Linked DNA regions of Mus musculus. The protein of the gene in region 1 interacts with the protein of each later gene in a pairwise test. Links are inferred from orthologs where the notes say so. Each region holds a gene or a part of one and is shown on either strand. Other genes may lie near its edges.

What was found.
Region 2: the proteins of Zgpat (region 1) and Dvl2 interact in a two-hybrid assay, tested with the Homo sapiens proteins (2 studies listed by BioGRID and IntAct). The two-hybrid records come from large-scale screens. The link is inferred for Mus musculus from reciprocal best matches to the Homo sapiens genes ZGPAT and DVL2.

The regions. Positions count from the first base shown.
Region 1 is NC_000068.7:181,378,247-181,381,329, forward strand, and holds the end of Zgpat (zinc finger CCCH-type with G patch domain-containing protein), read left to right. Parts: intron 1-136; coding exon 137-270; intron 271-504; coding exon 505-660; intron 661-1,323; coding exon 1,324-1,443; intron 1,444-1,527; coding exon 1,528-1,933; intron 1,934-2,128; coding exon 2,129-2,267; 3' UTR 2,268-2,547; downstream 2,548-3,083. UniProt on the Homo sapiens protein: Transcription repressor that specifically binds the 5'-GGAG[GA]A[GA]A-3' consensus sequence. Represses transcription by recruiting the chromatin multiprotein complex NuRD to target promoters.
Region 2 is NC_000077.6:70,003,551-70,007,197, forward strand, and holds part of Dvl2 (segment polarity protein dishevelled homolog DVL-2), read left to right. Parts: intron 1-1,254; coding exon 1,255-1,324; intron 1,325-1,604; coding exon 1,605-1,750; intron 1,751-1,886; coding exon 1,887-1,996; intron 1,997-2,111; coding exon 2,112-2,247; intron 2,248-2,387; coding exon 2,388-2,478; intron 2,479-2,585; coding exon 2,586-2,655; intron 2,656-2,740; coding exon 2,741-2,880; intron 2,881-2,963; coding exon 2,964-3,040; intron 3,041-3,647.

The DNA.
Region 1 (3,083 bases):
TTGCTGGTGTGCCTGTCTTGACTTCTTGAATATCATTCCATTACAGGCAGTGTCCTGGCGATGGCCTTTGTGCTCTTGGTCTTACTTGCTCCTGGTGGGCCATGTCTAAGCCTCTGTCTTCTGTGCTTGTATCTAGGTTCTCCCATGGGCAGGTGGTATCTGTGGATGAGCTGCGTCCCTTTCAGGATCCAGACTTAAGCTTACTGCAGACTGGCTCTGCATGTCTGGCCAAGCACCAGGATGGCCTGTGGCACCCAGCACGGATCACTGGTGAGACTGCCAACAAGGACCTATTTGGTGGGACCCTTTTCAAAACACCCTCTTTGTTCTTCATACAGCCATTCTCCACCTCCTCTGGGTTGGGCTCTGGGACTTCATCTTGGCCCAAGATGAGCAGGTCTGCCTTTGTCCCAAGCCCCTTCCCTTCCTGTTTCCCACTTTGCTCCTAACTGGTTGCCTAACCTGTAAAAACTGCTGACCTACAGCCTGTCTCTGTCACCCTAGATGTGGACAATGGCTACTATACCGTTAAGTTTGACTCATTGCTGCTGAAGGAGGCTGTAGTGGAGGGGGACAGCATCCTGCCTCCTCTGCGCACTGAGGCTACAGAGTCATCTGACTCAGACACTGGTGATGCAAGTGACTCCAGCTATGCCAGAGGTATGGCAAAAATGAGTGCTTAGAAGCCAGAGTGGTGAGGGAATAGAGCAGGTTGGTGAGGACCTGAGGGACCCGAGCGTGTGTGCTGGCCTGGCTGGCCTTTAAGAAAGAGACAAAGCAATTGCATGCAACAGTCAGAATTCCCTGAAGCAAAGTGGCACCACACTGTAGAGAGACGAGAATGCTGTTGCTAGATCTGCCAAGGAGTCACAGGAAGTAACTGAGTGTAAGATGTAGGAAAGGGTGGGTTCTTCAGATGACTTCCCAGATTTAGAGCTTGGATGCTTGGTGGGTAGGGCAGAAGAGATTTTGGCAAACGGAAAATGTATCCAGGTGAGATAGAGGTTTCAGGAAATGAACTAGTAGGTAACGTATAGTCTTCCTGAGGGGTTGGTTAGGATAAAGATAGGAAGATGTTTCTGGGAACCTGTGATGTGAATTGGTGGTTTCTGGGCTCTGGTCATTGGTGGCAGATAGTAAGCTAAAGCAGGGAAATTGGTTACAATACAGCCATCTCTAAAGACAGAGTTGTCAGGAGTGTGCACAGCATGCTTGGGGAACTTGAGGGGACCTCAAGTCCAGGAGATCAGGCCCTACACAGGAACTAAGTTCTTGGGTAACCTTGGCTGGAGCCCACAACTTGGAATCCTCTGTCTCCTGCAGTGGTGGAACCAAGCACGGTGGACACTGGGACCTGCAGTTCTGCCTTTGCTGGCTGGGAGGTACACACACGGGGCATTGGCTCCAAACTCCTCGTCAAGATGGGCTATGAGTTTGGCAAGGGTGAGTGCCTGCTGCCCTGAGTTGAGAGGGAGTCCTTAACACAGCTCAAGGTCTAGCAGGTAGCACAGCCTCTGTCTTTCTCAGGTTTGGGCCGGCATGCAGAAGGCCGGGTGGAGCCCATCCATGCTGTAGTGTTGCCTAGAGGGAAATCACTGGACCAGTGTGCAGAGATACTGCAGAAGAAGACAAAGCGAGGCCAGGCTGGGTCCAACAGGCCTCCAAAATGCCGGAGGAGTGGTAGTAGACCTGAGGGCCGCCCACCCCCCCGGAATGTGTTTGACTTTTTGAATGAAAAACTGCAAAGCCAGGTTCCTGGGACCCCAGATGCTGGGGTGGATACCCCAGAGAGAAGGAACAAAGACATGTATCACGCCAGCAAGAGCGCCAAGCAGGCTTTGAGCCTGCAGCTCTTCCAGACTGAGGAGAAGATTGAGCGGACCCAACGGGACATCCGGGGCATCCAGGAGGCCCTAACCCGGAACACTGGCCGGTATGTGTGGGATCCAGCTGAGGCAGTATGGGCTCCAGTGGCTATGCCCAGAGGATACCTGCTAAAGGTTACCTGACCTGAGTAGCAGCTGAGTCTGAGGTGGTCTAGATATTAGAGGACAGGCATTGGCTATAGCAGCTGAGGGCTTGGAAGTGGGGAGCCAGGAGGCAATGCTGACCAGCAGGCTCTCCCTAGGCACAATATGACGACAGCCCATCTGCAGGAGAAGCTGGAGGGAGCCCAGCGGCAGCTGGGTCAGCTGCGTGCTCAGGAGGCTGACCTACAGAGGAAACAGCGGAAGGCAGACACTCACAGGAAGATGACAGAGTTCTAGCGGCCCTGCCTGTATTGTGGATAGAGCCCTGGGACCCAGCTCCAAACTGCCTTGGCAGAAAGACAGCTGTCACCCTGATGCCTAAACAGCACCTGGAAGAGGAACCAGCCCCTTCTTAGGATGCCCCTTAATTAGCCTTGTCAGCCTAGAGTGTGAACACTGCTGAGTAGAGGTGGGACATCAGGGCTGATTTTGAACACTTATCTGCCCACCAAGCCCACCTACCAGTGTCTTGGGGTGTCTCCTTAGGACATTAAAGTGATTTCATCACAATTCTCTCAGTGGAGACTCAGCTGGCTTCAGGATTTCTGGGGACACAGGGATCTGTGTAGGTCCTGGGAGTAGACAGGTGGGCAGTGGGAGTACCAAATGAGGCCACTGCCTCTGTCTAGGGTCCAAGAGTCCAAGAGAAAAACATTCTCCCTTTTCCCTTCTCTGACCAAGTGGGTAAGAACCTAAGGTGGCTCTTCAGTCCCAGTACTCACAAGCAGGTAGGGTGTGTGAGATGGAAACACCTTAGGAATACAGTCAGTGAGAAAAGCAGGCAGACCTGGCTTGGGTGGGTTTGGGGTTCATTTCTGGTTTTTGGCTGCCACGATAATCCATCCAGTTCACCTGCTTTGTTCACCTCATTAATGGGTATCTGCCTCATTGGGGTGGAGGGGACTGTGCTGGTCTTTGTGGTAATTGCCTAGTGATAGCATTAGCCATGATGAGGTGTGAGGAGAGCAGAGACTGTGGGAGCAACTGCGCAAGAGCTGTGTGGCTGCTGGGAGGTGCTCTGAGAAACACAGGAAGTGAGGTGAGGCGTCACCA
Region 2 (3,647 bases), on another chromosome or scaffold:
GAACCTGTGGGAGGCTGGGCTTTGGGATTTTTCAGACCGAGCAGATTGCTTAGTGAGGTGAGGTGGCCCGGAATTGGGAAGCCCAGCTTCCTCGCTCCATGGGAGCGTTCCACACGTGGACTGTTATTGTTGCATGTAAGGGTGATTTTTTACCCAGAAAAGCCACACATTTGGGTGGCTCTGCTTGTGAATTAGAGAGAACTCAAAGGCAGCAGGTTCCGTGAGGACCAGAGGCTTTTATGGGACAGATGTGTAGGACAGAGATGGTTAGGCGGCCAGCCAGGCTCTTAAATTAGATATTTGGAGCAGTTGTGGGAACTGTCCCAAAGGGACTTTGGAGTGGTACTTTGAGGTTTGGATCAAATGGGAAGAAGTCTTTGGAGTGGCATTGTGCCTCTAAGGATGAGTTGGGGTAGTGGTAAATGAGAGAGTCTAGAATTTTTATTTATTTATTTGTGTATAAAAGCAAGTTACTTCACTGTGAAAGCAGAGGAGCTGGGCATGGTGATGCATGCTGGCTGAGTGGCATAGCCAAGTTTGGTGACATATGCCTTTAATACCAGGATGGAGAGGCAGAGTTAGGCAGCTCTCTGTGAGTTTGAAGCCAGCCTGGTCGTCGCTACCGCTGCTGAAAAAAAAAAGGGCAGAAGTCTATAGACAGTTGGCTTAGAGGATGCCGCTGTGTTCTGTTCTTAGCACTAGCACCCACTGGTGGCTCCTGACTCCCTGTAACTAGCTCCAGGGGAGATAATATTCTCCTGTCCTCTGCAAATACCCTCATGTGACAGCCATGCACACAGACATGTACATATACATTAGGGGAAAAGCAGACGACGTGTCAGTCAGGGCAGCAAGTCACCATGCTTGGGCAGGATGGAGATGGGGAGAGACTTGGAATGAGATTTGGAATGGGAGTGACTAGTTTAGCTTTACTAATCTCCCCCATCCCCGTGTTTGTCCCACCCCCACCCCCAGATGGGGTTTCTCTGTGGAGCCCTGGCTGTCCTGGTTCTCTCTGTAAACTAGGCTGGCCTCAAACTCAGATCACCTGCCTCTGCTTTCCAGAGTGCTGGCATTAAAGGCATGCACCACCACCGCCCATCTAGGGTGTGTGTGTGTGTGTGGTGTGTGTGTGTGTGCGCGCAAGAGAAACCCTTGCTCACTGAGTGCCTCTTGCCTCGGCCTCCCAAGTGTTAGTTGAAGGTGTACCCCATCACACCTGGCACCTTACTAATCACTCTGCTCTCTCCGCAGGGTGGTGAAGGAAGAGATCTCCGATGACAATGCCCGCCTACCTTGCTTCAATGGAAGGGTTGTCTCCTGGGTAAGGGGACTCATTACTGAGCTGCTTCCAACCTCAGTCTGTCTCTGCAGCCTCCCCCCTGCTCAGTCGCGGGTGGCCTGGCTTCCCTCTTCTCTAATGTGGATACAGTGAGCACTCCTCGGCCTCCTCTTCCTATAGCCTCCCGTACTGGATTGTTTTTTCTGGCCTCTTCACCCAGGTCTCCAGGACCCTGTGTCCTTCTTTTCTGGTCCTTTTCCTTAGTTTCTTCTCGTACACCGCTCCCCAGCAGAACCATGTTTTCTTACGTGCTCTCTTCTAGCTTGTGTCGTCAGATACCCCACAGCCTGAGGTGGCTCCCCCAGCCCATGAGTCTCGGACAGAACTGGTTCCTCCGCCTCCACCCTTACCCCCTTTGCCACCAGAAAGGACCAGTGGAATTGGGGACTCAAGGCCTCCATCCTTCCAGTGAGTCCTTTATATTCTTGAGTCCAGGGGATGGGAGCGAAGAGGGAATTCAGTCTAGACCTCTTGAGAGAGGGGGACTGAGGTTCCGGTGCTCTGTCCGACTGACTTTGGTTGGAAACTCTCTCTACCTGTGTAGCCCTAATGTATCCAGCAGCCATGAAAATCTAGAGCCTGAGACAGAGACCGAATCTGTCGTATCACTGAGGCGAGACCGACCTAGGAGGAGAGACAGCAGTGAACATGGCGGTGAGGGGATGGACCCTGGAGGCAGGGTAGACTGAGCTGGGCAGACAGGCAAGCCTTAGCATGCTGGGTATGAAGAAGGGGAGGCCTGGCTCCTGAGTCTCTTGTTTATACACAGCTGGTGGCCACAGGCCTGGTGGCCCCTCGAGGCTGGAGCGCCACCTGGCTGGCTACGAGAGCTCTTCCACCCTCATGACCAGTGAGCTGGAGAGTACCAGCCTAGGAGACTCGGATGAGGATGACACCATGAGTAGGTATGGCTGCACACTTCCCTCCCTGTTCCCTCCCTCCTCCCCCCTCCTCCCCTCCCCCTCCCCCCCAGCCAGTCTTCTTGTTTCATGTGGCTCCCTGACCACTTCCACCTCCAAATGCTATGCTTCTCAATTGCTATCAGGTTCAGCAGCTCCACTGAGCAGAGCAGTGCCTCCCGCCTCCTCAAGCGCCACCGAAGGCGAAGGAAGCAGCGGCCGCCACGCATGGAGAGGGTGAGGGTTCTTTTGGGATGAAGTGGGCTCTGGTTGAAACACAAGCTTGTGGCTTCTCTCTCTGTTGACGGGGAGCAGTTCACACCTTTCATGTCTCCCCGCTGTAGACCTCATCCTTCAGCAGTGTCACCGATTCCACAATGTCTCTCAACATCATCACGGTCACGCTCAACATGGGTATGGAGGGTCCTGACGGGGAGAAGGGAAGGAGAGAGAGGGGCTTGGGGTTTCTGGGGCTCAGTCATATGGCCCCCCTCCACAGAGAAGTACAACTTCCTGGGCATCTCCATTGTGGGCCAAAGTAACGAGCGTGGTGATGGGGGCATCTACATCGGCTCCATCATGAAAGGGGGCGCGGTGGCTGCGGACGGGCGGATCGAGCCTGGAGACATGCTTTTGCAGGTGCGCTGACGGCCTGGCTGCTGGCTGGGGCGGATGCTCTGCCCCTCCCACACTGCCCATGACCCACCACCCCTTCCCTTCAGGTAAATGATATGAACTTTGAGAACATGAGCAACGACGATGCTGTACGAGTGCTGAGAGACATCGTGCACAAGCCAGGGTGAGTGCGGCTGGCCCCAGGCCTCTTGGGCTTAAGCCTGTTTACCTTTGTTTTGCAATTTTTATAAAGACGTGAGGCCAGGCATGGTGGTGCATGCCTTTAAACATGTTATTTGAGGCACAGTTGGGCTGAGTGTGAGGCAGCCTGGTCTGCAGAGTGAGTTTCAGTCCATCCGGGTCTACATAGCGAGAAAACAAAAACCAAACAAAACAAGGGCTGTAGAGATGGCTCAGCAGTTAAGAACACTGTTTGCTCTTCCAGAGATCCTGAGTTCAATTCCCAGCAGCCACATGGTGGCTCACAACCATTTGTAATGAGATCTGATGCCCTCTTCTGGTGTGTCTGAAGAGACTGACAGTGTACTCACGTACATAAAAAAAAACAAATACGTCTTTCAAAAGAGAACAAAACCCACAAATTGCAAATCTCCCTGGCATGTCACTCCACACTAGAGCATGAAGCAGATGTGGGTGAGCACCTGAGAAGAGGCCACCCACTGTGTGCTCCTTGCCACTCCCTCTCCTCACTGATGATAATTACCGTTTGGCTTCTTTGGTCAAGAAAACCTTTAATGGTTTTTCATGCATGAGTCCTGGAACAAGATGGT